4 linked regions of the Callithrix jacchus genome follow. The protein of the gene in region 2 purifies or fractionates together with the protein of the main gene of each other region. This does not show direct contact. Links are inferred from orthologs where the notes say so. Each region holds a gene or a part of one and is shown on either strand. Other genes may lie near its edges. The genes, in order: KDM6A, KMT2C, PAXIP1 and NCOA6.

The links.
Region 1: the proteins of KMT2C (region 2) and KDM6A purify together in Homo sapiens (affinity purification with mass spectrometry; 3 studies listed by BioGRID and IntAct, with this or other methods). This does not show direct contact. The link is inferred for Callithrix jacchus from reciprocal best matches to the Homo sapiens genes KMT2C and KDM6A.
Region 3: the proteins of KMT2C (region 2) and PAXIP1 purify together in Homo sapiens (affinity purification with mass spectrometry; 4 studies listed by BioGRID and IntAct, with this or other methods). This does not show direct contact. The link is inferred for Callithrix jacchus from reciprocal best matches to the Homo sapiens genes KMT2C and PAXIP1.
Region 4: the proteins of KMT2C (region 2) and NCOA6 purify together in Homo sapiens (co-immunoprecipitation; 7 studies listed by BioGRID and IntAct, with this or other methods). This does not show direct contact. The link is inferred for Callithrix jacchus from reciprocal best matches to the Homo sapiens genes KMT2C and NCOA6.

Annotation. Positions count from the first base shown.
Region 1 is NC_133524.1:46,020,043-46,027,260, reverse strand, and holds the end of KDM6A (lysine-specific demethylase 6A), read right to left. Parts: intron 5,338-7,218; exon of another isoform or gene 5,193-5,337; intron 4,510-5,192; coding exon 4,383-4,509; intron 2,527-4,382; coding exon 2,356-2,526; intron 1,924-2,355; coding exon of another isoform or gene 1,915-1,923; exon of another isoform or gene 1,880-1,914; intron 1,226-1,879; coding exon 1,196-1,225; 3' UTR 355-1,195; downstream 1-354. UniProt on the Homo sapiens protein: Histone demethylase that specifically demethylates 'Lys-27' of histone H3, thereby playing a central role in histone code. Demethylates trimethylated and dimethylated but not monomethylated H3 'Lys-27'.
Region 2 is NC_133512.1:95,793,818-95,801,652, reverse strand, and holds the start of KMT2C (histone-lysine N-methyltransferase 2C), read right to left. Parts: upstream 5,137-7,835; 5' UTR 5,105-5,136; exon of another isoform or gene 4,995-5,104; intron 4,468-4,994; exon of another isoform or gene 4,249-4,467; 5' UTR 4,248-4,248; coding exon 4,087-4,247; intron 1-4,086. UniProt on the Homo sapiens protein: Histone methyltransferase that catalyzes methyl group transfer from S-adenosyl-L-methionine to the epsilon-amino group of 'Lys-4' of histone H3 (H3K4).
Region 3 is NC_133512.1:93,192,737-93,200,657, reverse strand, and holds the start of PAXIP1 (PAX-interacting protein 1), read right to left. Parts: upstream 3,984-7,921; 5' UTR 3,811-3,983; coding exon 3,730-3,810; intron 1-3,729.
Region 4 is NC_133506.1:4,478,742-4,486,427, reverse strand, and holds the start of NCOA6 (nuclear receptor coactivator 6), read right to left. Parts: upstream 5,013-7,686; 5' UTR 4,818-5,012; intron 1-4,817. UniProt on the Homo sapiens protein: Nuclear receptor coactivator that directly binds nuclear receptors and stimulates the transcriptional activities in a hormone-dependent fashion. Coactivates expression in an agonist- and AF2-dependent manner.

The sequences.
Region 1 (7,218 bases), on a different chromosome or scaffold from region 2:
ATTTTGGCAGCAATTGTTTATTGGTCTGTCATTGCAGTAATTGCAACTTAACAATAAACCAGTCTGACATTTTAGGTCTTGAAGATACATACCATATATATTTCTTTAAAAATAATCATACTTTTTTTGTAAGCAATACTTTACAGTAGACACCTCAAAAATCTACCATAGATGTGAAACTTAAAACGAGAAAAATTTAAGTTCTAAATATTTATACATATATATCCAGATTTCTATATATATTATATATACATACATAAGTATATATAAAATATATATAATCAGATTTCAAAAATGAACAAAAACTGGGCACTGTACATAAAGTCCTTTTAAAACTCAAACAATAGAAAACTCTTTAAACATTAAACAATTTTAATAAAAGTTTCTGTACAATGCTAAGCAGTTTTATTTACACATAGAAAATGTAATAGGAGTAGTGTTTGAAATTACAGAACTCCTTAAAATTTCAATGGCAGGTAAATCTGGAAAAAATAACAGCATTCCATTCACAAATATTTTCAAGCAATAAATATGTATTTATAAATAGTGTAAATTTACATCAAGATTAGAAACAAAAATCACAAATCTGAAGTTTATTCCTTAGTCTATGTGCAATCCATTACCTTTGTGACTTGGCTGTTAATTTTTTAAATGTTTTATTTAGGAACCAAAAGTGTAACCATCATGGTCTCAAAACAAGACAGAAAAACATAAAAGCAGTAAAAAAGTGTCTTAGCTAACTTTTCACATTAAAAAAAAGTTGACCAAAGAAAGACTTAAAATTGCTAACTACCTTACAAAGAAATGACCAGCTAGGCTAGTATTTTTTTTCCAAGGAAAATTCTGAAGGGGGAGAAGACAGATGAAAACAAATTCATCAGCCCAGAAATAGAGAAATATAAAAGAGGTTGTCTTCAAGTCAGTAGTCTGTATGATGTTGCCAGTTTTGTCAGATATATACAAAACATGGAAATTATTATTTTTTTCTGAAGTACAGCTGATCAGCCTTGTGAGATCCTGGAGTAGGAGCAGTACTCTCTCCTGTCCAGTTGGTTGACACTCCGCACTTGGAAGGTTGCATAGACAACAGTTTTCAGCCAGCAGCCTTACGAGATAGCTACAAAAACCAGTGGTGCAGAACTGGGTTGTTTCCTGAATAGCAGAAAAGGTCTCATTTAATGTCCATGGAACAATATCAAGATGAGGCGGATGGTAATGGAGGAGCCTGAAAATAAAAGTAAGATGGGTTATTTTGGTATACAAATTGTTAATAGCTCATGGCTACAAAAATATAGTTTGCTTATGAAGTTAGGGGAAATAACTCCCAAGAAAGTTCAACAGCCTGCTATACAACATAAAAGCACAACCTACCTTACTATCTCCCATTCGGCCAATTTTCCTAAGAGTCTAAGACCATTGTCCTACTCAGAGTACTTGCAGTTTCCTATACTTCTTCACCTAAAACTCTTGCAATGTTATTAAGTTTACCATTTTTTAAGATTGCTTAAAAAGGGGGGGGGCTTCTTGAAAAATAATTTAACAGATTACAATTTCACTAGTGATTGCCTTCAGAATCTATCTCAGCTAGATAATATATTTTGTTCAACATATTCCAGATAATTTTCTTCTTCAGCAATCCTGAAGACCATTTAAGAGAAAATATCAGAAACAAAATTTCAAAAAGTTAGTTTCTGATCACATATGTGTGGGAGACAAGTACTGGAGAAAATCAACAATTCATAAAGTATCTCTGTGTTTCTATTCATAAAGCTATTGATCTGCTAGAGTAAAATGCTTTCCCCAAGCATCTGCTGTCTGAAATTAAAAACTGTGTGCAATTTATAAGTATACTTGAATTTCATAAGGTTATATAACATACCAGGAAGTTAAGCTCCATCAAATATTCCCATGAGGTTAATACTTCTGGCAAGGACAAAATTTTAAACAAATACAATTAGCTCTAAAAGCAGAAGTGTATTTAAAAGCACACTTACTGATTCATTTTGTGGGCTCTAATAACCTACATACACAAACATTTTATCAACCGAGATAAAATGACATAAAGGATGATAGTGTTTTATCTAAAGCACACAAAGATTTTTAAATGTAATTGTTGTAAAATCATTTAGGCTGGTCTCACCCAGAAAGAAAAGTAAAAATGATATATGCCAATTTTATAGGAATAAATACTTGGAAATGGAGGGGGGAAAAGATATGAATATACCCTCATGCAATATGTAATGAGCCAAAGGAAAACTTAAAATATTTCATTACCTCCTACTTATCAGGTGGCAGAACAAACACTGCTGCTTCATAACCCAGTTAACTATGTACTCACATGTTGATTTGACTTACTAATGTAAATTGGTCATAAACTTGCATCAGGTCCTCCATTTTGTACTGTTCTAGCACCACAAAGTTTTCCAGGTTTCCGCTTGTTTTTCGTGCACAATCTTGGCAATGTACTATGTAGGTCTTTCGTGAATTACTCTCATTTGTGACAAAAAGCAGATTAAAAACCTCTACCTGTTTTATACAAGAGAAATATGTATTCAACAGAGATGGTGGTATTTACTGTACTGCTTTAGTATAATCATGAAATTCTACTTGAATGAAATTGTGAACAGTGATCTCTGGTTAAGAGTAGGTGGTAAGAAAAACATGGCTGTGTTTGAGAATCTTTAATAGACCAGGTTTATTTTGCACCAAATCCAAAGACATGGGTGGAATGCATATTTAGGGGAGTAATCAAAGGGGGAATGACATACTCATGACAACCACCAGCAAAGCCCAGTTCAAAAGTTTGATAAAGGTCAACCTATTTTTAAATCCAAAACACTAGTATACAATCAAATGTAAGTGATCATTTTTATGTATTCATGAGTACAACATGATTTTAGAAATAATACCTCTGTCTTCTACAGAAAGATTGATGAATCGCTAAGGTGTAGGTAGCATAAGGAACAACACACCTAACTGGAATCTATCTATCTCCTAATGACTTATTTTGGTTAGGTCATACAACATTTAAAAAGTCGATGGATTCAATCATTTCAAATAAAGGTTGACATTAGAATTACAGAATTTCAAGGTTTGAAATGGACCATCAATATCCTGTCTTTGACTTATCCTTGAGTTTCTTCAGTGACAGAAAACTCTTATGACCCCATGTCTTCTTTGAACAATTAACTACAATCCCAGAGAGTTCACTATGTTATCCATTATTGTCAACAGGCAGCAATATGAACCTAGTGACCTGAGCTAGAAAGTTGGTGAGCGTTCTTCAACTTGTACTTCTGCTTCTGCTATTTAATGAGGTGTCTTGCTGATTTTACCCTCTAAATATTTTTTGAGATTATTTCCCTTCTTTGATATTCCCATTTCCAGGTTCTAGTCTAGATAACAACTCTTAAGACCACTGTCACAGCTTATATCGCTGTCCTTTCCAACCACTTTTCTCCCTGAAACACTTATCTTACCCTTAGTTGCCTGCTCAAAACCTTTTAATGGCTTCAATGACCTCAGAATATCAAATTCCTTAAAACCATTCAAGATGTGCTACAAATTACATGCCACCTAGACTTATGAGTAGAATTGGCAGTCTGTGTCCCAGCCAAATTGGAACACATTCAATCTTTTCTAAAACCATTCCATTTTCCCATTTTCTTCTTGTTCCTATAGTCCATGACAGCCTATCTCTGATTCCCATCACTTTCTTAGCCTACTGATACACTCTTTTTTTTCAAGGGTGGACTCAAATGCTAATACTTTTGTGAATTCTTATGCCAATACAACAAGAAAAAATTAGGTCACTTTTCCCCTCAGTGTTTTTATAACGGTAAGTCCAATTTCACATTCATCAGTCTCAAGTACATTATAATTAGTTGTTTATAATCTGTACGCTCCAAGTATAATTTAAGCTCCTTCATATTCATAGCAGCCACCACATCTTTGTTCCTACACCTCTTGCAAGCCTTGGCAACAGAAGATTCACAAATGTATTGTGAATTGCACCAGAGAGGACTGAACATAGATCTGCCTATACTGAACCACACATCCAGTTTATTGACATCTGTGTATATCTAGATTGTTCCCAGTTTAAAATCTCAGACTAAACTTGCTGATTCTCATCTGTTGAAGATCTACCACAAAAATGACTCTGTAGTAGATACTTTTAAGGTTATTAATTAACAGTGAAATATTGTTATTATCACACTAAGTTTTAATACAATGGCTAACAACAAAGTTGAATCCAATGTTGATTACTATAAACTGCATTGCATAAAAGTATAAACAAGTTTTAAAAAAATAACTAAAGAGAAACCAAAAGTAGAGAGGGCAGAGGCTTTATAAAACAACTGTGGATAAGAACAATTACTTACTTCACAAATGCTACAGTAATGAGCTGGTTCTTCTTTTGTCCGCCCATGCCATATAATCTCTTTTCCTGCAGCGATGAGAGCTTCCCTCAATGTTTGGCATTGCTTCAGAGTTCTTAGAAGACAATACCTATTGTGGGGGAGAAATTATTTGTGACCAGCAACTGAATATTGAATATTTTTAGCATAAAAGATATACTAACTGGAAATAATGCCAAGAGACTTGACTCTAATGTCTATGATTTCATAATTTTTCTTTCATCAATTTATCAATTATTCTCAGATTTAGAAAAAAAGCCAATGTTCAGCAGGCCTGAAAACTATTAAAACATTTAAAATTGAGAAAATTGATATTGGATATCAACATATAATCGTCTTAATATATAAAAACTAACTCCCTGCTTAAAATGTGAGTTGCTAATTTTGGCTCTTATTTGGGCAAGTCAGTTAACCTCTCTGGGAGTCAATTGCCTTATCCTTGAAATAAGGGGTGTGAATTCCAGGTCTGAACTGCTATGATTCTAATAAGGCAGGAAGGCACATTATTTTTTTTATCAGCGCTACCTAAACACTCATTAACAGCATCATCTGTACAGCTGCTTTTGAAACTCAAGTCTATAAGCAGAAAATATATTTATGAATTTAGTTACTAGAGGATACGATATTCATTTAACTATAATAGTAAAGAAAAAAGTATGTCTTCATTTTATCTTGAAGGTAACAGTAGAATTCATTCATATTAACATAATTGAACTTTTCTTATACCTTTTCTAAACTCATACTTAGGATGCTAACAACATAGTAAATTCTCACAATTTGTACTGATTCTCTTATAGTTTTCTGTCATTACTTGGAATTCTTTGCTGAATTCTCTTACTCTCCTGTGAATCTTAGTGGCTCAGGTTCTCCATTCGAATGGAGAGGTTGAACTAGATGATCTGTAACGCACTTTTCAGCTCTAAAATTCGGAAACAATGAAAATATCATAAAGTTTAGCAACTGAACGTTGTCTTGAAAGCAGAGATCTTATCTATTTTATTCCTGCTATCTACTTATCTACTCACCACCTAGGATAGTGCCTAGCATACAGTAGCTTAATCAATAAACAACTAAAATTCAAATTATAAGTAATAAAACATTTAATATACCTTATTATTTCTTTGCTATTTTATAAGTTACTATGTTAAAATATGGTTATTTATTAGAACGCACGTATATTAATCCGGCAGTGGGTGGGGAGGCGGGGAATGACTAAATCTTTGTAAAACTTGTTAGCTTATTTAAAAAACATAAAACAATATCAATTTCATAGTTGTAGGCCAATTCCTTAAGTATCATATTCAAAGATGCACTGTCAGCTTGACTTCAACAATTCTTACATATTTAACTTATTTAGAAACAAAAACAATGCTTTAGACCAGTGGTCCCCAACCTTTTTGGCACCAGAGATCAGTTTTGAGGAAGACGAGTTTTTCAACAGACCTAGGGGGAAGGGCGGGGGGAAATGGTTTCGGGATGACACTATTCCACGTCAGATCACCAGGCATTAGCTTCTTATAAGGAGCGAGGAACCCAGATCCCTTGCATGTGCAATTCACAATAGTGTTCCTGCTCCTATGAGAATCTAATGCCACCGCTGATCTGAAAGGAGGTAGAGCTTAAGTTGTAATGCCAGCTTGCCTGCTGCTCACCTCCTGCTGTGCAGCCCGGTTCCTAACAGGCTAAGGACTAATACTGGTCTGCAGCCCAGGGCTTGGGGATCCCTCCTTTAGACTGTGGTTGTGTGTCAAGACTAGGGCAGCTATCGGTGGTATGTATGCATGCCTGTAAAGGGTGCCAGGGAAGGTAGCAAGTAAAAATTTAGAACATGGAAAAGAGAGAAGAATATAATTCAGACTCTGCCTCTAGCTTTTGAACAGTACCTGCTCCTCTCTTTTTCCCTCCTCATGTCCCATACAACACTTCTAAAGGTACAGATATTACTGAACAAGTTTTCCAAGTAGGGCTTCAAAATAAGGTCTCTTATAGGAAAATATTGCCTAAAGCTCTGTAGTCATTGGAAGACTTCAAACTCAACTATCCTGACACATGGCCAAACAAAAATAATATAATAAAAGTAAATAAAAAATAGCCAGACAGGAGCTATGTATTTGCTATTTCACATACATTATGCCAAGTAAGCCTCCTAACTTGTGGAGAAAGGTTATCTCTATCTTGCAAATGGGAAAGCAGGAGTGCAGAGAAGTTAAGTTTGTCTGTCATAAAGCTATTTAAAAGTGGCTGAGCTATGAGTTTTTAAAAGAAAATCTCGAGCTTCCCCTTACTATCTCACATTGTACCCTTCTTTTTGATCTCTTCTCACATATTATTCTCACCCACTCCCCTTCTTTTCTTGTGAAGATGAGATTCTTGGTTGGGCTCAGGAAGCACAATTTTTCCAAACACAGAGCCTTGGTTCTGTGGAATTATCAGGCTACTCGTTACTCAGCAGATAAATTTTCATCTTCAATGACTACTTTGGCAATTAGACTGTAGTTTACAATGTATTGTTAGCTTGGTAGTTTCATCTTAGAAAAAGGCAGTATACCTCTGACCCCTACAAATAACTAGGGGTCAGAGATAAGGTTGCTAAGAGTAAATACTAAGCCATAAGTAGTCAGTCTGCTTCTGAAATAAATTCTGCTCCAAAATTTACATTTTATATTTTGTGTGATACCAAAATCTTAGGAAACTGACAGTTCGATTTATCTTATCTGACGATGAATAACAACATTGTGATTTCTCCTTGCCTTTACTTTTTTAACATGGAAAATTTTTGCTCCTCCTTATTTTCAAAAGG
Region 2 (7,835 bases):
TTAAACAACCTCCTAACAGTAAGAGAGGGTAGCAATCCTGAACCAGCTTTTTCAACTGAATTAAAACATTTCAGTGCCTACTAAGTGCCAGAGAACAATAACTATTAAAACATTTCCATTTATCAAATCTTTTGAACAACAAATTAAGAATTGCTATCATAAAAATTACAAATTTGCATTATCTCAACAACTATAAATAGTGCTATCTCTCAGCTATAAACTTGTTTTATTAAACAGCATATATAGTAATGCAGTACAGTTTTCTGTCACTTATTTCAAATTCACAGCTATGAAAAAAAGAATCTGCCAGCTGCAGTGGCTCACAGCTGTAATCCCAGCACTTTGGGAGGCCAAGGTGGGTGGATCACCTGAGCTCAGGATTTGAGACCAGACTGGCCAACATGGTGAAACCCCGTCTCTACTAAAAATTCAAAAATTAGCTGGGCGTGGTGGCGGGCACCTGTAATCCCAGCTACTCGAGAGGCTAAGGCAGGAGAATCATTTGAACCCGGGCGGGGGGGGGGGAGGCAGAGGCTGCAGTGAGTGGCACTGCACTCTAGCCTAGGGGACAAAAGCGAGACTTCGTCTCAAAAAAAAAAAAAAAAAGAAAGAAAAGGAGAAATTTTGTTGGGGGCAGGGCCTTACAAATACAGGTAGCAGCCTGCTGCATAGCCATTTTTGCTGGTCCTTGCAATGACAATCACTGAAAACTTTCAGATGAATGTACCTAATTTTTCTACAACAATAATCCCTAAGGTGGCTCTCTAATAATAGCAACTGCCCTCTGAAAAGAAAGTGATTCTGGGTATAAAGAGTTTACTCAAAAAGGGTCAAAGATAGTGCTTCGAAATTCTATCCCTATCACCTGCCGCTTCTGTACACCCACGCCCATCCCCCACACCCACCCCACTTCTAACATCACCTTTGATGAGCTGGTAAGAAATATGGTAGAGCAGAATGTTCCGTTGGCTTCCCAACTTACAGAGTAAGGAATTTACAGGGTAAGGATGGAAAAAATAAGATCAAAGCTTCAGAAAAAGGTTTTTTAACATTAACAGAACAATAATCAGATCTTTAATGTGCATATTCTGGCAGAGGCTTCTTTGCCAGACCTGTGCCTCTGATAAAGATTATGAACTACTCCAAATAATCAAATAATTTGATAGTCTTTACAGTTAAGGAAAACTTTCAGATGAATGTAAATTTCACTGTGCCACTTGACATTTGTACAACAGAAAATCTCTATTTACATACTTACCTTTCCAACTCTAAGATTAATAGCTTCAGTTCAAATTTCTTGATTTTAGACACTAAACAAAATTTTAAGTTATATTAATATAAAAGCAGCAACTATATAGCTAGTTTTTTTTATATGTGATAAAACAAACAAAAACAATCTAGCTAACACTACAAGACAAGAAAATGCTTTATTTACCTAATTATTAAAAATTCAAACTGGAGAGAAGCGTAATTGGTGGTGCATGTTTTTTTTAAGCCAAAGATAAAAACACAAATCCACTTTAGTGTCAAAAGGCATCTTCTCTACTTAATGTAACTCACTAAGTTAATGAACACATAAGTAACACTAACAACTTAAAATATCTCTATGATACTTAACAAAGAATATTAATTTTCATATCTCAGATGAATTACTCGCAATTTCACATAATTTCACTGGTTACAAACCTAATTTACACTGGTTACACATAAGTTTCACTTTCAGGGTCTTTACTACCCAATTAGAAGGTTTTTCCTGCATGGACTCTAACATAGTGTAGAGATACACAATTGAAAAACCTTCTCTTTGCTTTCCAATTCATATGTTAGTTTCCATTTACATGTTTCTAAAAACTGGGGATTCCATTCCCTTCAAAAGACATTTAATTAAAAAAAAAAATGCTCTGAAAAGTTTGGACCCGTCAAATTTACCAGTAGACTTTCCTATAAAGAATGCAGTACAAGTTTTCAAATCTAAAAGGAAACACTCAAGACTTACATTTGTTCTAAATATTTCCAAAGTTCTGATGTTTCAGCGTTATGCCGTCCTTCAGCAGAAATTTTACCTTCTCCAAACACTACCTATTTCTTCATGAGATTAAGAATTAAAATAGGCCAGGTGCGGTGGCTCACGCCTGTAATCCTAGCACTTCGGGAGGCCAGGAGTTCAAGACCAGCCTGGCCATCATGGTGAAACCCCATCTTTATAATTTAAAAAAAAAAAATTTAAAATAATAAAGTGGAAATACCCTAATCGTCCGGTGCACCCAGGAACTGCACTAATACAAATGAGCTCGTTTCAAAAGTAGGATGTGTGTTTGAGTGTGCGCGCGTGCGTGTGCAAGTGTGCGTGCACAAGCACGCCCTTACATGAGTATGGGGTGTGGAGTGTGACAACACAAATCTACTCTTTCTAGAGTAAGAATTCAAATGCAAATTTAAAAACAATAATCTCAAATTAATGTTCAGTAAGAGATGAAGAAACGGTTTTCAAATAGTGAAATGGGAGACAATCGAGGTAAAATCCCAAGATGGCTTGTCCTGAGTTCCTTTAAAGGATACCAAAAAGTGGCTTAGACGTCTACAAATTACTTTAAACCTCCACTTCCTTCTCCAAATTTCAGTTAATATAGAATAAGGGCATTCTATACCTGCCATTACATTACAATGCAAGCGGCCTAATAAATAAACCCTAACTTTGTATCACAAAGAAGCAAATGTAATAATGTACACACATCCTGTACTTGCTTCCCTCACTATTATCATAGCTAGGTAAGAGCTGGCAATGAAATATGGAGGCAAGCTGAAGGGCCTGAATCATTTCCATAGTAAAAGGACGTAGGGCAAGAAAAGAGCACATTCAAGTCAAGTGCTTAATAGGTTCCCACAACCCAGCTCTGTTATGCCTCAGTTCACGCTACTATTTTTACTACAAATCACCAAACAACAACAGTATTACTAAGTGAATGCACCCGAACCAAAGAAACAGCCTATCCATAAACGTGCTGGCTTCCTTCACGTCCCAGCGCACCCTTCCACTCCCGACAGTTCAATGAGAATACCGTATCATGAAATGAGTAAGCACACACGCCATTCTACAACTTCGAGAGACATTCACAGATCTTCCACGGCACACGCAAGAACCACAGAGGCCGAGCAGTTAGTTCACTGGCACTGAAACGGGTTTCTTCATTGACAAGCAAAGCCGTCCAATAACCGCTCTGTACAAAAACATTTCTGGTCCTCTAATAAACTGGTCCACCCCTACTGTATGCTCGAAAGCACGCCAACCTTTTTCCAAACCCCTTACAGCTAAGACTTACTAGGGAAGCGACATTTACATCGGCACTCTTTCCGAATAAAAGTGCTCCGTATTCTGCCTTACGAGGGGACACAGGTTACGTCTCCAAAACTTAGGCAGGCCGTTCCCCGAAGCTGTGGGATCCCACAGGAGTTGTGCTTTCGGAGCCCGACAGTGCGGTTCGGGGTGTCGAGGGAGTGGGGAGGGAGAAGTCAAATGGCTTCCTAATATATCAAAAGAAGAAAACACAGGTTTGGGACCAGGAAAAGTTCCAGGAGCAGGTCTCTGACAAAGAAAAGCCGCACTCGCCCGGCCGCTTTCTTCTCGCTCCCAGCCCGCGCCCCGAGACCACCTGGCCCGGGCGTTTTGACAGCTCCGAGAGTTTGCCGAGCGCCGACGGCTCGGCTGTTCGCCCGGAGTCCGTCCGGGGACAACCTGGGCGCGCTCCGGGTTTGTTTTCTCAATGATCCAGCTAGGCCAAGACGCGGCTACGAGAAATTTCTCCAAGAGAAGAGTTGCGGAGAAGACCCAGCGAAAAGGCCCGACTGAAAAGTAAAGTGTGCGGAGCCCGGGCGGGCGGCGCGGAGCGGGGGAGGCCGGCCGCGGGCGGCCGCCGAGGGGCGCGGGGCCAGGGCCGGGGCCGGGAGCCGCCGCCGCCCGCGGGCCCGCCCCGCCCCCACCCCGCCGGGGGGCGCCGGGGCGCGGGGGCCGCGGGGCGGGCGCCCAGTGACAGCTCCGGCCCGGCGCCGCCGCTGGCTCCCGGCCTGGCTCCCTCGCACTCAACTTACTTCTTTCTGGCTCTCTGGAAAGGGGAAGCGCCATCTTTGCGAGGCCGGCCCCGAGGTCTTTTGTCTGCGGCTGCGGGGCTCGGGGCCGGGGCTCCGGGCTCCTCGGGGGGTGGTGGCGGCGGCTGCGGCTGCTCCACGCTCTTGTCCTCCTCCGACGACATCCTAGTCACCAGGAAAGACACATGGATCCCGGTCCTCCTCCTGGGGGGCTCCTCCCGCCGCCGCGGCCGCCGCCGCCGCCGCTGCTGCTCGGGTTCCTCCTCCCCGGCTCAGCCTCTCGCATTTCCCGCAGCCCCGGGAGCAGCAGCAGGTACCGGGAGAGGCGGCAACATGGAGCGAGCAGGACACGCACTCACACACATCGGCGCGGGCGCGCGCACCTCCGCGCGCAGGGGCCGGGCGGGGGGCGGCGGGCGGGGCGGGCGGTGCGGGGCGGGCGGGGCCGACGGGTGCGGGCGGGCGGGGCGGCCGGGCGGACGGCGTGGGGGGCGCCGGCCCCCGGGGTCTCCGCCCGCGGCCCCTCCCCTGGGCCGCCCGCGGCGGGAGGAGAAAGGGGCCCGGTGCGGGGAGGGCGGGCCGCGGGGCCCGGCGGGGGCGGTGAAGGGGTCGCGCCCCCGGCCGGCCGCCCCTCCCCCGCGCGTCAGGCTCGTCAGGCCCGGGCGGCGGCGGCGGCGGCGGCGAAGTTTTGACAGCTGCTCCAGTGGCGGCGCTGGGCGCCGGGGCTGCACGGGCGCTGGGCCGCGGCTCGCTCCTCACACTCGCTCTCTCACACACGCTCGCTCGCTCTCCCGGAGCAGGGGAGGAGGAAGTTTTACGGGTGTGCGTGGACCCCACACACACGCCGCGCGACCGTGGCCGCCGCGCGAGGCCCGCGCCGGGGCTCCCCCGGGGCGACCCGCACCACAGACCTCTCCAACTCGCCACCGTCGCGCCCACACACCGCCGCTTCGACGGCCCCCGCCCGCTCCCCCACTCTCGGCCCCTCGCCCGCCCCCCGCGCGCCGCCGCTGCCACTCACGGGGCTCGCTCCGCGCATGCGCCGCTCTCGCCGCCCGCGGACGCGCCGCCGCCGCTGACCTCACCGCCCCTCCCCCCCGGGTTCCCTCCCCCTGTGACGCGGCGGCCGGGCCCAGCAGCGACTCCGGCTCCGACTCCGGCTCCGGCTCCGGCTCCGGCTCCGGCTCGGGAGGGAGCCAAGCTGTGGACCCAGAGATCCGGGATCGGGATCCGGGGACTGCGGGCGAGGGCGGGAGGGAGCGGCGGACACACGCGGAGGTGGCCCGGGGTGCAGGGGGCAGCCCGGCGCGGGGAGCAAGTGTGCGCCCGCACGGCGAGGTCAGCCCGGGCTTCGCCGGTTCTCGCCGAGGTCTTTCCTCGTAGCGCCCACACTGCGGGGAGGAAAAGGAATGGAGTCAACTTCGACCTAATCCAACACCAGTTAGAGTTTCATTATTATAACGTCATTTTTTTTTTTTTAATCCAGAAAAGGTTCATAAGGATGTAAGAGGGAAAGAACGATGGCAGCTCCAGAAATAAAACGGTTAAAGACAAAAGCCGATAAAAACCCAACCTCTCGGTTTTAACGTTCAGTGTGTTGTGATGAAGAGGCAAAAATCGAAGTATTTCTAAGCTTCTTCTTATAATATGTTAAAATGGTAAAAAGAAAAATGGGGCTAGAATCCTCCTGAAAAATGTACTTTCTCAGGAAGGACAGTTACAAATACGGGATTCCGGATTTCTCAGGCGAATACTAACACTTGGACGTTGATCTATTCTGTGCTTACCATGCACTATCGATTAGTATATGGGAGTGAAAAAAGTCTAGATGTTAATTAGGGGGAAATATTAAGACCTATCAACCATTTGTGAGGGATTGGGGTAAACTATCATTTAATAAGCATCTACGTTGGGCCTGGCATTAAGAGGCACACTCTCATCCTGATTTCATCTTCACAATGCAGTTTCAGTGTAAGGTAAAAATAATAGACTCCTTCTCCAGCGGTGTTGTTTGCTTTCCCTTACAGTAGCTAGGATGTTAACTTCACCCTGTGTCTTCTACTTGGGTAAAATATACACACTTTGATTCCCAGAGCCTATTCTAAATGAAAGCATAATTTTTTCAAATGGCTGAAATAAGGAACAAAGTCAGAGAGTCATTTGAATTCCTTTAGGGTTTAATCCCTGCTGGCTCTTTCAAATTTGCTAAATTTATAACCAAAGGAAGTTTGGGATTGAGGAGGAGGCTGGCATGGTAAATGCAAACTACAAATTAGCAGGGCGTGGTGGCTCACGCCTGTAATCCTAGCACTTTGGGAGGCCGAGGTAGGTGGATCACCTGAGGTCAGGAGTTCAAGACCAGCCTGGCCATCATGGTGAAACCCCATCTTTATAAAAAAAAAAAAAAAACTACAAAAGAAATTTTTTTTACAAAACTACAAATTAAAAGTACATCACTATTACACATAGAAATACAACATATACATGACTAGTGATAAACGTAAGATGTGATATATTGAAAGTTTACTAAGTACAAATAGGACAGCACCCTTTCTTTTTTTCATTTTTTTCAGCACATTATACCTTAAATAAAGTACGCTTTCAAAACTGGATTATTGATCAAAATGTCCATGTGTTCCATACTGAAATAAAAATAGGCGCTTTCACTGTGAGTTTCACATGCACAAAATTACACATCAATGTAGTTTACTTTGATACGCTTCTCCAGCACTTCCGAGAATTTCAGTGTCAGCGCGTACAAACTGCAAGTCACTCCCACTGGAGAGTTCACAAGAAGCAAAGGGACTAAGAGCAAAAAAGTGAGCCGCGTGAATGGAAGAAACAGAGTGGAGGGTAGAAACAGAGGTCCATGCAGCAATGTAGAGATGGGGGTCTCACTGTATTGCCCGGTCTAGTCTCTACCGAGTGGAGGGTAGAAACAGAGGTCGGTGCAGCAATATAGAGACGGGGGTCTCACTGTATTGCCCAGGCTAGTTTCTACCGAGTGGAGGGTAGAAACAGAGGTCCGTGCAGCAATGTACAGATGGGGGTCTCACTTTATTGCCCAGTCTAGTCTCTACCGAGTGGCAGGTAGAAACAGAGGTTCGTGCAGTAGAGATGGGGGTCTCGCTGTATTGCCCAGTCTAGTCTCTACCGAGTGGAGGGTAGAAACAGAGGTTCGTGCAGTAATGTAGAGATGGCGGTCTCACTGTATTGCCCAGTCTAGTCTCTACTGAGTGGAGGGTAGAAACAGAGGTCCGTGCAGCAATGTAGAGATGGGGGTCTCACTGTATTGCCCAGTCTAGTCTCTACTGAGTGGAGGGTAGAAACAGAGGTCCATGCAGCAATGCTTCTGGAAAGATGAAGATGATGCAGGTGAGTAAACCCAGCCTTAAATCTCCATTCCTTTGGCCACTGTGAGCAGGGAGTTGGGATCTGTTTTAAGAGAATTGATAGCAAGCTCCTTGGCATGAAGTTATCATGAGCAGAGCAAATAAAATGTAACCCAGGATGCTGAGGAAGGATTCAAGGAATACTTACTCAACATAAATAAAGGTTTTCCATCTCAGTCATCCAAATTACACAGCTCTGAGACCACAGTGTTAAAAATCTAGGAGGCTGGGAGCTGAGGTCCTTCAAATTATAAAACCAAAAAGACAGGAGCATCTGGAAATAGTACCAAATGCAGTAGAAAAATATCAAGGCCGGGTGCGGTGGCTCACACCTGTAATCCCAGCACTTTGGGAGGCCGA
Region 3 (7,921 bases), about 2.6 Mb from region 2:
AGGCATCCAGTTGCAGCTAGGAAAGGAAGAAGATCTCACCTAACAAAAAGCCATCAGATATTACAGAGACGGGAGCCAAAGCCATGAGCATGAAGGTGAGAGTGGGAGGGGGGCCAGAGAGTGGATCAGGTGGGGAAGTACATATTACAGGAGAGGAGCGTCCACAGAAGCCAAGGAAACGAGGGGGAAGGAAAAGTTGAGTCAAGTGCTTCAGAGGAGGTGGCTAGTGTCTAAGCTGACAATGTATACCAAGTGTGAAAGTGACATGGTACCCCAAAAGCTCAAGTAACCAACAAGAGCAACGCTCTTCCAGGTCCCCTCTCCGCAGCAGAGAGCGTTCTTCCTTCACTTATTAAACTTTCGTTCTGCCAGGTGTGGTGGCTCACACCTGTAATCCCAGCACTTTGGGAGGCTGAAGCAGGCGGATCACTTGAGGTCAGGAGTTCGAGACCCACCTGGCCAACATGGTGAAACCCCATCTCTACTAAAGTACAAAAATTAGCCAGGCGGCTGGGCGCAGTGGCTCAAGCCTGTAATCCCAGCACTTTGGGAGGCCGAGGTGGGTAGATCACGAGGTCAAGAGAACAAGACCATCCTGGTCAACATGGTGAAACCCCGTCTCTACTAAAAAAAAAATACAAAAAATTAGCTGGGCATGGTGGTGCGTGCCTTTAATCCCAGCTACTCGGGAGGCTGAGGCAGGAGAATTGCCTGAACCCAGGAGGCAGAGGTTGCGGTGAGCCAAGATCGCGCCATTGCACTCCAGCCTGGGTAACAAGAGCGAAACTCCGTCTCAAAAAAAAAAAAAAAGAAAAAAAAATGAGCCAGGCATGTCGGTGGGTGCCTGTAATCACAGCTACTCCAGAGGCTGGGCAGGAGAATCGCCTGCACCCAGGAGGTGGAGATTGCACTGAGCTGAGATCGTGCCACTGCACTGCAGCCTGGGCGACAGAGCAAGACCCCATCTCAAAAAACAAAGAAAACTTTTGCTCCAACCTCAAAATAATAATAATAATAAAATAAAGTGACCCTCAAGCTAGGCAACCTTTTCACAATACTATACTGAGCACTAACAGACATGAACTAGGGCAGAGGTTCAGTATTTAATAAGTGAAAAACAACGATCGCTGGCCACAGGCCACTTCCCTTTACTCCTTCCCTTGACCTCTAAGCACCCTTAGCTTCACACATCCATTCGGCTTGTCTGTGAAAAGGCACCTCCTTTTCCTGCCCTCCAGTCTTTCTGAGCCTATCTCGATATTTCAGTCTCTCCCTGTCCACAGCTATGCTCCCTCCACCTGTAAACAGTGAGTCTCCCACATCCTCCCATGTGCTTGTGATGCAACACAGATCCCTCCCAGCCCTCTCTTCCTCGGTCACCTTCTGTTTCCTTCTCAGGGCAAATTTCCTTAAACAGCCTAACCTTTCTGTTCTCAGTTTCCAATCACTCTTCAGCTCCCTGCAAACCAGCTTCTTCCACCGACACTCTACCAAAAATACTTATTCGGTTTTCACAGACTTTGAGGATGCCAAAACCAAGCGCTTCTTTCAATCTCCACACTACTGAATATCTTAATAGATTTATCTCATGTCATTCTGTTCCACATATAGTGATTATCCTGATGTATTCCCAATGCACGATGCCTTCATTCCTCAGTACACATGTTCCACGGGAAAATATTCCTTCATGTTCCCAACTTCTGCTGATCTCAAAAGCCAAGTGAAATGACATCTACTTAGTGACATTTCAGTGGTGCCTGCTCTGCACCCCAGGGGAGAAATCTGCTACCCCTTGTACTGTGATGTGTCCAAGTGTGTTCCCTCTCCGAACAATGAGGGATGCTCAAGGGCAGGTACCATGTCCTCTTCACCTTTATGTTATACCTTCCACTCAGTCCATGCCTGCCTCATACTAGATGGTCAACATGTGAACTTACAATCCACAGTCAGAAGACTCAGAGAATCAGATATCCAGGCTCTAAACATTTCAGAAAATATACTCTTTCAGATGAAAGTGGTTTCCCAAGGACATTTTTAAGCACGTAGATTTAATTTACAGTTGAGTAAATATGATTCCAGTTCAACTTGTTCCAGGTTTTAAGTAAAATTTGGTTCAAGTGCCTTGTAAGAGCCAAAGTCCTACAATCAAACAGGAAGGGTAGGAAGGAGGGGGCAGAGAAAAATGGTGGAGAGCAAAAAAAAAAAAGTTGGGGGGAACGGGAAATTATCATCAATACTGGAAAAAGCTAACACTGTTATAACACTGTTACAGGCACTCATTTGGATCACTCCCTGTTCAGCAACCGTTTTACTCTTTAAATGAAAAGCAAGAAGTTTCTCTCTTTTTTTTTTTTTTTGTGAGATAGATTCTCGCTGTTGTTGCCTAGGCTGGAGTGTAATGGCGTCATCTTGGCTCACTGCAACCTTAGGCTCCCAGGTTCCAGCAATTCTCCTGCCTCAGCCTCCCGAGTAGCTACAACTACAGGCACCTGCCACCACATCTGGCTAATTTTTGTATTTTTAGTAGAGATGGGTTTTTACCATGTTGGCTGGGCTAGTCTCGAACTCTTGACCTCAGGTGATCTACCTATCTCGGCCTCCCAAAGTGCTGGGATTACAAGCGTTGAGCAACCACGCCAGGTCTAAAGTTGCAGTGCAAAAAGGATCCAAGAAAGTAGTTACTAAGATACAAGGACGAACCTCAAGAAGGCCAAGACCAATCAGTCTTCTACTCCATCCAAGTTCACTTGCTAAATATTAGTCTCCGACCTTCCAGGCCTAACTGTTCACACGGCATCCCCATCCTGCAAGGTGGGCGCCACTGATGTCACCCCCAAGGCAACATTAAAAAAAAAAAAAAACTGTACAGTTAAACTCTTACGAAGGAAATATTTTGAAGATTAACCTGAAGAGGATATTCAACTAAGATGCATTCCTATCACGGGCTGATAACTGTGTGACATCAAACAGATGTATTATTACAGGAATACGAAGGAAAACCCACAGTATCCTTTGGCATGAGCCCAAACTACACAAAATTAAATGTGTAATGTGATGGTGTTACCAGGGCACCATAAAATTAATCATCCAACTGGGAAAATCAAGGAAGACGAATGCCAGCCCCCACGTGCAAGGACACAGGCTGGAGGGGAGCGCTCCTCAGCCTCGCACAGAACCGCAACTGCCCGGGCGGCGGAGGCGGCCACGCCGGGGCAAGGACACGGCCCCCGCCGGCCCAGCGAGCCTGGGAGCCCCGCGCGAGTTGCCCGGGCCGGGGATCCCCGCAACCTCTCGTTCGTCCTCAGAGCCGCGACACCCGACGCGGGGCAGGGGAGATGCGACCCCGCGCCAGTCACCCTCAAGAAAGGAGCAGAGAGCAAGGGGGCCCGCTGGGTGGGGGGCGACGACCTCAGGGCCCCAGGCCCGGGGCTCAGGGCGCGCACGAGGGGCCTAGGCACAGAGCCCCCGCCGACCCGGCAGCCCTCCCCTCCCGCCCTCCCTCCCCCGGGCCCCGGCCTCCCGCGCCCACCCCGCGGCCGCCCCTGCCCTCCGCGCAGTCAGGCCTCCCGGACCCGACGCTCTGCGCCCGGACCCGACGCTCTGCGCCCAGCGCGCGCCCGAAGCGGGAGCGGGGACGGGGACGGGAGCGGGGACGGGGACGGGAGCGGGGACGGACGGTGACGCGAACGCGGGGGGAAGCCGCGGCGGGCGCGGGCGCGGGCGCGGTACCTGCGGGTCGATGTCGCCCACCGCGTAATACTTGACCTCCCTGAACATCTCCTCAGGAACTTTGGGCGACTGGTCCGACATGATCGCGGCGGCCCGGGAGGCTCCGCGGCGGCGCCCGGCCCCGCCCACCCCCCGTCCCCGGCCCCCACGGCGCCCGGCGCCCCCGCTCGCCCAGCCAACGGCCCTGATCGCGCGGCCCGGGCCGGGTCCTGCGAATCGGGGTCCGCTCCCCCGCCCTCCGCGCCCCCGCCCGCGCCCGCGCCGAGCGCCCGAAGCGCGGGAGCCGCGCGCGCCCTGCGGGACGCACCATCCCGCCCCAGCCGCCGAGGGGGAGCGCCGAGGAGCCGCCCGGCCGCCGGTGACGCCCCGCGCCTGTGCCGCCGCCCACGGCCCCCGGGGAACTGAGAGCCATGGACTAGCTTCAAACCTTGCGGTTCCGTGGCCACCGCTCTGCAATAAGGGGGCTCTTGGGACGAGGGGAAACACGCGCCCCCCTCGGCGGGGCCGGAGTGAGCCGGTCCCGGGAAGGAGGGGAGTAGGCAGGCCCCTCCCGTCACCACACGCGGCTGCTCCAGAGCGGCGCATGCGCGCGGTGGAGGGGCGGGGCCTCGGGACCGGGCGCCGGAGCGGGAGCCGGCGCCGGAGCGGGAGCGGGTCCGGATCCGGATCCGGATCCGGATCCGGTCTGCGGCCTCCTTGGGTTCATTGAGCCGGGGCAGAGTGGGGTTGGGTGTTGCAGGCTGTTCGCAGTTGCCGAGAGCGCGGCCGGACCTGGAGTAGTGCCTCGGCGCCTGTGCTGGGGACGCCCGGCCCCGCCACTGCCTGAGGCCCGGCTGTATTGAAGGGCCGGGCCTCGTCCCTGGCGCCGCGTCCTCTCCGCGCTCGGGGAGAGTCCCAGACGGCAGAGCCCGCGGTGCACCTCCAGCCCCAGGAAGCCCCGCTCGGCGGGTTAATGCTACACAGCGGCGATTCTAATGCTGGTGCTTTTTTATTTACACCTCGCCTCCCTTCCGCCAAAATTCCCAAAACGCGGCAGAGTGGCCTCGGGGTCACCTGCCCGAGACACCTGCGCCACCGAAAGTCGGGGGAAGAAATAAGGCCTTGATGACGAACGCGGCCGTTTACGACGTTGATTTCCAATCTCACAGCAAACCGGAGACCAGAAACTCACGGGTGATTGTCGGAATATTTCCTGGTCCTAGAACTGGAGCATTGCTTGTTAAATTACTCCGAACCAGGACCGCGGTGTCTTCCCCACAGACCCGAAGTCACTACTGCCAAGGAGAAAACCATTTTTAAGTAAACGGTAGTGAAATTGGTTTTAAAAAAGAAGGGGCCGGGCGCGGTGGGTCACACGTGTAACCCTAGCATTTTGGGAGGCCCAGGCGGGCGGATCACGAGGCCAGGAGATCGAGACCAGGCTGGGCAACACGGTGAAACCCCGTCTCTACTAAATATAGCCTGGCGTGGTGGCGGGCGCCTGTCATCCCAGCTACTCCGGAGAAATGCTTGAACCCGGAAGGGGGCAGTTGCAGTGAGCGGAGATGGTGGCACTGCACTCCAGCTTGGGCGACAGCTAGACAGCCTCAAAAGAGAAGGCTTTCAGAATTCCTCTGTGGTACACTAACGTAACAGATTAGATCACTTTCCAGGCTTTATGTTGGCCTTTGTGCTACCATTTTTTTTAAATGTATGATAAAAGTTGTGTTGGTTCATTGCTCAACATGCGATCTGTTGTTAATCAGGCGAATACAGTTTTGTCTTTAAATCTGTGTGTATGTCATGAGTGGTTTCGTACAGGCAGAAGGTAAACCACACGTTTAAATATACTTAATGATTTATCATTCCAGTGTTTGCTGTTTTTTGTTGTTGTTGTTGTTGTTGTCTTTCTCATTTGTCTCTTGAACAATCTGAAATTCTAAGGCTCAAAAACTTATTTTACAAATTTAGATTGAGCATTCCTAATCTGAAAATCTGAAATCTAAAATGCTCTAAAATTCGAAATTTTTTGAGTGCTGACATGACGACTGGTTCACAGTCAAATCACAATCCAACCAGGTGTGGTGGGCACCTGTAGTGCCAGCTCCTCGGGAGGTTGAGGCAGGAGGATTGCTTAAGCCCAGGAGTTTGAGTCCAGCCTGGGCAATATAGTGAGACCCTTTCTAAAAAAAAAACAGCGAAAACATTTTTTTAAGAAATGCCATCAAAACTTTGTTTCATGCACAAAATCATTTAAAATATATAACCTTACCTTAAGACTATGTGGGTGAGGTGAGGTGTATGTGAAACCAATGAATTTTCCACTTAGATTTAAGTCCCTTCACCAAGATACCTTATTACATACATGCAAATATTTCAAATCAAAAATAACGGAAATACTTTTGTCCCAAGCACTTCAGATAAAGCTTACTCAACCTGTAATTAAAAACACTGAGTGCTTGCCTGAAGGAAAAACCAAGAATTTATCATCCATCCTTAAATTTGTATGACATCCTTTGTAATCGGGAAACCTTCTATTACCTAAGAATATATTTGATGTATTCTGGCATATATTTTCATTATGATGTTTTATGTTCTATGTTGGGAACATACCAGTGTAATAAATACTGTAGGTCCAAATACAGATCATGCCTTTTTATTGACCTGTGTGAGAAAACTTAATTTATCCTTTCTGTGTGAGAGAACTTATTTATCCTTTTGGTTTTTCTTTTGTCTTTTGTTTTTTGAGACAGAGTGTCACTCTGTCACCCGTGGAGTGCAATGGCGTGGTCTCGGCCCACTGTAATCTCCACCTCCCAGGATCAAGCGATTCTCCTACCTCAGCCTCCCGAGTAGCTGGGACTACAGGTGCATACCACCCCGGCTAATTTTTGTATTTTTAGTAGAGATGGAATTTCACTGTGTTGGCCAGTCTGGTCTCGAACTCCTGACTCATGATCTGCCAACCTCGATCGTGATCCGCCTGCCTCAGCCTTCCAAAGTGCTGGGGTTGCAGGTGTCAGCCATGGTGCCTGGTTGTCCTTTTGTTTTTCTTGGTTAAACACAAACTAAGTAGGTGATTTTATGTTAAAAGGCCTGAAGTGGACTTCAACTAGGTATTTTATTTTGTGAATTAAGAAAGCAATTTGTAATGTTCAAAAGAACAAGCTTACCCTACTTCAAGTTCTGATAGTCAATAAGGCAAATTGTGGGATTAAGAAATCTGCTATTTAAGGCCTGAACAGTGGCTTAGGTCTATAATCCCAGCACTTTGGGAGGCCAAGGTGGGCAGATCATCTGAGATCAGGAGTTCAAACCAGCCTGGCCAACCTGGTGAAACTAAAAATGCAAGTCTCTACTAAAAATGCAAAAATGAGCGAGGCATGCTGGCGTATGCCTGTAATCCCAGTAACTTGGGAAACTGAGGCAGGAGAATCACTTGAACCTGGGAGGCAGAGGTTGCAGTGAGTCAAGATCACACCACTGCACTCCAGCTTGGGCAGCAGAGTGAAACTGCATCTCTAAATAAATAAATCTATTTAAAACCCCATCAACCTGTCAGAATTTGTAGAATACCACATGTGAACTGTGCCAAGCAGTCCACACAAGTGGATCTTAGAGCAGCAGCACCCGGAAGGGGTGGAGGCAGTGTCCCACAAAATAGACCTCAGAAACTCTCAAATACTACTGCCTGACCAATGATGAAAAATAAAAATGTTTAATGTCATGTGGATAAAGGATGTTCTGAGGAAGTCTAAAAATCTGGCACCCTGACGTCATGAAGAATAACCCATCTAGCAGAGGACATAAAGATGGCAAGTCAGTGTTTAAAGACAAGTGGTAAACTCACAGAAATTATCTTCCCCAAGATGACCATTTTGCTTATGGAACAAAATACTATGTCGACACTGCTGTATCTTATTCACAGTTAAATAAAATTCTCATTACTGGTTTTGCGACACATAAAGGATGATCCATTTGTAGGGTAATAACTATCAGTTTGTTAAACAGAAGCTTTGTATTTGCTTTCTATAATTTGAAGTGTATACCACTTCCAGATATGACACTGAGCATTATTTTTAGACTTCCCCCAAGTAAATTCAAAGCATGACCATTTTGTTGATAATCAGCCTTTGGAGAATTAAACAGCCTGCTTACTGCCAATACTAGTTCAGTAAATATGATAATGTTTCTCATGTTCTATTTTGCAAAA
Region 4 (7,686 bases), on a different chromosome or scaffold from region 2:
TCCCAGCACTTTGGGAGGCCAAGACGGGCAGATCACTTGAGGTCAGGAGTTTGAGACCAGCCTGTCCAACACAGTAAGACCCCCATCGCTACTAAAAATACAAAAATCTGCCAGGTGTGGTGGCACATGCCTATAGTCCCAGCTACTTGGGAGGCTGAGGCAGGAGAATCACTTGAATGCAGGAGGCAGAGTAGATTACAGTGACCTGAGACGGCACAACTGTACCCCAGCCTGGGCGACAGAGCAAGACTCCATCTCAAAAAAAAAAAAAAAAAATTTTAAAAAATAAGCAAGAAACTGGGAAACGACATCTGTAATACATATCAACAACAAAGGATTAATAATCAGAATATATAAAGAAATCTTTTGTAAAAGACAACCCAGTAAGAAAAATGGCAAACCAAGTCCCAGCATTCTCTAATCTGTGTAAAGCTGGCATTACCACAGTTGCCACGCAGTACACTCCACAACAACAGACCTTGCCATCACTGACTGATATAAATATTCAGGGGTCTATGTTATGCTGCAGGTACACAGAGCATGGGGAATCAAGCCCAAAGGGCAGAGCCAAGACGTTTATTCATTCTCCATCGTATAGACATTGGATGGCAAATTAGAGGTTGATACCCAACATTCAGACACACAGATCAACCAAAAGAAAAAAAAAAAGACACATAGATCGGGGTTGGCAAATGTTTTTGTAAAGAGTATTTTCAGCTTTGTGAACCGACATAACACATCTCTGCCACAACTACTCAACTTTGCCATTGGTACCACAAAAGCAGATATGGACAATATTAGTAAACGAGTGTGGCTGTGTTCCAATAAAAATGTTATTTAAAAAAACAGATGGTGGGCCAGATTTGACCTATGAAACAGTTTGCTGACCCCTGCCTGACATGGACAGTTGTGCTTTTTCTACACTATAGGTAGGGTACTTCCCATGTTTTCCCCTGCCTTTTATGTCTGCTGACACTTACCTCTGATTTCCTTAACCAAAAACTACACCACACTTGACAGCTTTGCAGTGGTTTCCAAAACTCTTACTCTACCAAAAAAACCCTTTCACCCTTATTATCAATGAGAATTCTCCCCTCATTTTCCTTTCATTTAACCTCTTTGACAGCCATCAACCCAGAAAATCTAAACCAGAAATCTAAAAAAGTCACCCCTCTTACCACTCACAACGTCAATCATCAACACCTGAAAATTCTAACTCCATTCAATGCCCACAGCCTCTGCCTTAGTTCAGATCCTCTGTACTTGCCTGGTCTTCAGTCTACCCTCCTTCCAAAGATCATCCATGTATCTCCTAGAAATTAAAACTCCACTATATACTCCCCCTTTTGAAGATCTTGAATGCCTCTCTCAGCTGAGGATTCAGTCCAAACTCCTTAGCAAGGTCCTTCACAACCAGGCTCCTAACATGGGCTTCCTAGTCTCATCTCTGACCATGCTTTCACACACATCCTATGCTTCAGCCACATTCAATTAATGCATTCCCTGAAAACGTGTCTTTACCTGAAAAGCCCTTCTCTCCAATTCACTGGCAAACTCCTGTATCTTTCAGGACACATCTCAGATGTCACCCCTTCACAACACCTTGCCTGATACTTTGAGCAGAGACACACCCATCTGTGTCCTTATAGCATTTAATGACTCTTCTTTGGCATCGGCCAACCTGAGCTATGATTTTCACCTGTCTACTTCACTCATAGGGCTGCATACCCAAAGTGAAATGACTGCCGTAAAGACTTCTGAATCTACTGGAGCCCAGCATAATGCTTGATACGCAGTAGATGCCTTGAGGCACAGTAAATGTTTGTTGAATGGAAGACATGTCTGGTAGTAGGAGTTGGGTTTCTTAACCTGGGGGTTCACAGACCGGAATCTATAAATAGGACTTCAGTGAGGTTTGTGAACTTGGATAGAAAAAACAAAATTTCTTTTACTAACCTCTAACTGAAAATTACCATTCTATTCAAATATGACTGTAGGTAACATACCATTCTAGTATTAGGAGTATCTGTGACTCTGTAACAATAGAAATCTCAAATATCTTTATTTTTTTGAAACAGAGTCTTGCTCTGTCACCATGCACCAGGCTGGAGTGCAGTGGCACAATTTCAGCTCACTGCAACCTCCACTTCCCAGGTTCAAGCAATTCTCCTGCCTCAGCCTCCCGAGTAGCTGGGACTACAGGCACACACCTCCACACCCAGCTAATTTTTGTATTTTTAGTAGAGACGGGGTTTCACCATGTTGGCCAGGATGGTCTTGATCTCTTGGCCTTATGATCCACCCACCTCAGCCTCCCAAAGTGCTGGGATTATAGATGTGAGCAACCGTGCCCTGCCCTCAAATATCTTTATATTATACTACAGTTGTTGCATATAATCTTAAAGTACCCTTTAAGCGCATCATATCTTTGAAATTATAATTATCGGATCCATCACTAAATATGATTTCTTAATGTGCTGATAAACAAGTATATGCATATTAGATTTTTATAGTGTAGTAATTGTATTTCAATATAATTGGTGTTCCTTATAATCCAATGTATTTTATTTTATACAATTAAAAATATTATTCTGAAAGGGGTCCATGGCACAGATAAAGTCAGGTCTTCCAGCATTAGAAAAACCCAGAAAAGGCTCACACCATGGTGGCTCACGCCTGTTAATCCCAGCACTTTGGGAGGCCGAGATGGGCAGATCACTTGAGCTCAGGAGTTCAAGACCAGCCTGGGTAACACGGTAAAACCCCATCTCTACCAAAAAGAAAAAAAAAAACAAACCCAGAACAAATGAATTGTGTTACTGTATATACATATGATATTGACGATCTTATTTTATATATAACCCTTTTGTTCATTAATTCTCTTTGATTATATGGGGCCCTGGACCTATTTTTCATGACTGATTTGCATATTTCCTTCAGACCCATAGTCCATGCAAACTTTGAATTCTTCTCTCACAGGATCCAACTTCGATGAACACAATATAGACTCTGGGTCTCTACCATTGTTCACTTTTCTTTTTTAGGATTTTGTGTTCCTTTATGATAAACACCTAGAAGAGAAGGCATCTCTTTTTTTAAGACAGTATCTTGCTCTGTCGCCCAGGCTGGAATGTCATGGCATGATCACAGCATGGCTCATTGCAGCCTTGACCTCCCAGGCTCAAGCGATCCTCCCACCTCAGCCTCCTGAGTAGCTGGGACTACAGATACAAGCCACATCAGATGGCTAATTTTTTGGCCTTTTTTGTAGAGATGGGGTCTGCCAACTCCTGGGCTCAAGGAATCCTCCCACCTTGGCCTCCCAAAGGGCTGGGATTACAGGCATGCGCCACTGTGGCTGGCCGGAGCATCTCTAAAAACTCTAGAAAGTTAGAAAGTATCAAAGATAACTTCTTTGCACAATTAGAGACGAGCCAGGAAATACCAAGTAACTGTATTCCCTTCGGCCTTTGCATTGCCAAACTCATTACAGGAACAAAACAAATTTAATTGTTCTCTGGTATATACTGTTACGCTTCATTTCTTGTTGTTTTTGTTTGTTTGCTTCTAGTTTCATCACAAGAATGTTACGCTTCATTTCTTAACACCTTTCTCCCAACCAGCAAATTCCTTTAAGGAAATGTGTTTAAACCACTTCCAGTAGCCCCTCTGCCACTAACTTATAAGATCTTGAGAAGTCAACTTTACCTTTCTATGTTTCAGCTAAAATCACTACCTGAGTTGAAATCTTTACTTGATCTCTCAGGTCTTTGTAGTTTTTATACATTCACTCTTCACCATTTTACTGGCTTCAATAACGCCTTTCTGATGACCTCTCCAGGTGACCCTGCTCTTAAGCTGTGGGCTGTCCCATTCCAGGGAAGACACCTTGGGTCACCGCCCCCAAACAGGCGGGTTCCTCCTTTTAAAGACACACACAACTCCCAAAGTTGATGTAGGTTTTCTCCTTTCTTGCCAACCAGTTCTACTCTCTGTACCTCTTTTGCTGGCCAGCTTGCACCCAAACCTCAGTCCCCCTGTTCTCTCCTCATCAAACACCTTTTTCCTGTTGCTTCCCCCAATAGGGGGTGGAGGATCCTTGGGACAGAAGTCTTCAGAGCCTTGTGAGTTACACAGCTTTGCAATTCAGTTCCACTACCCCAAGGACTGCCCAATCTGATACCAGCGTCTGGATCCAAAGGGCCCTCATTTCTCATCAATCGCCTCCGTCCTTTCCCGCAAAGAACTGTTCCAGCCCTGACAGCCTGAGCCTGACCCCAAGCCTCCACCCCAATCCCCAGATCCTACCAGCACTAGGGCTCTCTATACACCGCCTAAGGCCTAACCCAGTTCCACGTCCTGCCATCCTTTCAGCCCTTGGACCCCAATCCCGGTTCCTTTCGGTCCCGGTGTTCCTTCTCGGCGACCCTGACTACGACCCCACGACCCCACGACCAGCTCCCGCCAGTTCCCCAGGCCTGAAGCGCCACCCCGTGCAGACCCCAGCCAGCCCTGCACTCCCTCAGTGCACCGGCCCCCGCGCCCAGCACCCTCCCCACCCCGCCGGGCCACCGCTCCCTCCAGCGCCCCCGCCCGCAGGCCTAGGGCCCGCTCCCCAACATGGCGACTGGGACACCAGCGCGGCGGGCGGGGCGGCTCCGGGCCGGGCCCACACTCGGACCGTGCAGCACGGTCGCCGGGCGCCATTTTCCCGCGCCGGGCCCGGGCGGCGCCTCCTCCCAGCAAAGCCAACCCGACCCGGACCGCGGACGCCCGGCGGGCCCACCCCTTACGGGCCCGCGCCGCCGTTGCCTCACCTGAGCGCGGCCCCGGCCCTCCCGGGCGGGCCTTGGAGCGCCGGCCCGGGCCGTGCGTGCCCGCCGCCCTCCGTGCGTTCGTCCGTCAGTCCTCGCGTGCGCCCGTCTGTCCGGCCACCCGCGCCCGGCCGCCCGCAGCCCGACCCGGCAGGGCCTCACGGAGCCGGCGGGGAGGGGGATGGGCCGGACCGGGCCGGGGAGGGAGGGGGAGGGAGGGAGAGAGGGAGGGAGCGCGAGAAGGGGCGGGGCGGACTCGAGGGGCGGGGCATCGCCCATGTGACCAGACGTTCCCGGGAGCGCGAGGTGGAGCGCGCGCCAGCTCGCTTCGGTGCTGAGTGCTTAGTGCGGGTGTATCGTGGGTCTCTGTCGACTTCCCAGGGCTGTTCTCCCGCCAGTGAGTCCCACTTCGGAAGCACACACGGCACAACGTTTTGCGAGCGCTCTGGCTAAGTACCCTTGGACGTGGCAACTCCAAGCCTCAGTTTACCTATTGAAATATGGAGAAATTCATAGTGCTTGTTGAAGAAGAAATGGCGGGGGGCATGGAAAGCACTTATCGCAGTGCCTGACACATACTGTCTAATAATAAGCTTAATGGGGATATAGATAGAAGCTTTCATTATTAGTTGCCTCCAAATCCCTCTCTTCTTTTTCCCATCATTACCTCCCTAGCAAGCGAAATGCTCAGTTAATAGAATTCTTGATCGAACAAGTGAGTGTGGCCCCTCCCCTCTTCCCAAATGTAGAAAGGCCTCCTCAGCACTGGACTTGATGTCTGTCATTCAGGCCTGCATTCATATCTGGCTTTCACTCTTTTTTTAAATTTTTTTGTTCTTTTTCCCACACTACACTGATGTATTTTTTTAATTTTTGTGAGTACGCAGTAGGTGTATATATTTATGGGGTATATAAGATTTTGATACAGGCATGCAATGCATAATAATCACATCATGGTAAATGGGGTAAATGGGGTATCTAGCACCTCAGCATTTTTTTTAAAAAAGATGGTGTTTCACCATGTTGGTCAGGCTGGTCTTGAACTCTCGACCTCAGGTTATCCACCCACCTCGGCCTCCCAGAGTGCTAGGATTACAGGCATGAGCCACCGTGCCTGGCCGCACCTCAGCATTTATCTTTGGTGTTACAACCCAGTTATATGCTAGTTATTTTAAAATGTGCAGGTAAATTGTTTTTTTACTATCATCACCTTCTTGTGCCGGCAAATACTATGTCTTATTCATCTTATTTTTTGTAACCATTAATCATTCCCATTTCCCAGCCACCTCCCACTAACCTTCCCAGCCTCTGGTAACCCTCCTTCTACTCTGTATCTCCATGAGTTCAATTGTTTGAATTTTTTGCTCCCATAAATAAGTGATCACATGGGAAGTTTGTCTCTCTGTGTCTGGCTTCTTTCATGTAACAAGGACCTCCAGTTACATCCATATTGTTGTAAATGGCATGATCTCATTCTTTTTTAATGGCGGAATAGTATTCTATTGTGCACATGTACATTTTATTTACCTATTCATCTGTTGATGGACACTTAGGTTGCTTCCAAATCTTGGCTATTGCGAACAGGGCTGCAGTAAACATGAGAGTGCAGATATCGCTTCCGTATACTGATTTCCTTTTTTTCTGGTGTATACCTAAGAGTAGGATTGCTGAATTGTATGGTAGCTCTATTTTGGCTTTTGCTCTTGATAGCTACCCTTCCCTCTCTGAACTTCAGCTTCTTCATCTGCAAAATAGGAGTTAGGGGGCTGTTCTGAGCATCACAGGAGATGGAGGATGAACAGGAGGATTGTAAACTAATTAAACAGGTCAGTCCTACTGGTCCCATTAAGGAAAGGGAGTCAGGAACCCTTTCATTCCATAAATATTTATTGAGTACATACTGTGTGCCTGGACTGGTGTAGTAGATACCCACCATCTTTTCACATCACCCTGACTGCCCTCTAATCTATTCTCCACGCTGCTGTCGCAATAATGTTTCTAATGATCAGAAATCTGATTATGTCACTACCCTACTTAAAAGTATCTGATGATGGCCAGGTGCAGTGGCTCACGCCTATAATCCCAGCACTTTGGGAGGCTAAGGCAAGTGGATTGCTTGAGCCCGGGAGTTTGAGACCACACTGGGCAACATGTCAAAATCCTGTCTCAACAAAAAATAGAAAAACGGCTGGACTCAGTGGCTCACACCTGTAATCCCAACACTTTGGGAGGCCAAGGTGGGTGGATCACCTCAGCTCAGAAGTTCGAGACTAGCCTGGGCAACATGGCGAAACCCCATCTCAACTAAAAGTACAAAAATTAGCTGGGCATGGTGGCACACACCTGTAGTCCCAACTATTTGGGAGGCTGAGGCATGCAGCCAGAATCACTTCAGCCGGGAGGTGGAGGCTTCAGTGAGCCGAGATCACACCACTGCTCTCCTGCCTGGGTGGCAAAGTGAGACCAAGTCTCAAAAAAAAAAAAAAAAAAAAAGACAAAAACAAAAATTAGTGGGCATGGTGGTGCACACCTGTGGCCCCAGCTACTCAGGAGGTTGAGGTGGGAAGATTGCTTGAGCCCAGGAGGTTGAGCTTGCAGTAAGCTGAGATGGTATCACTGTGCTCTAGCCTGGGCAATAGAGTGAAACCCTGTCTCAAAAAAAAAAAAAAAAAAAAAATCTGATGGCACTTCATTGTTCTTAAGATAAAGGCTAAATAAATGTTGTGCCCCTCACCTCTCTAGATTTATCCCCGGGCCCTCTTCCCCTTTCTCTGGGTTGGAACTACAGTGACATTTCTTACACATTGTTCTCCCTCCCTTCTAAGCACCCTTGCACATGCTGATCCCCCTGCCTCCAATGCTCTCCACACTT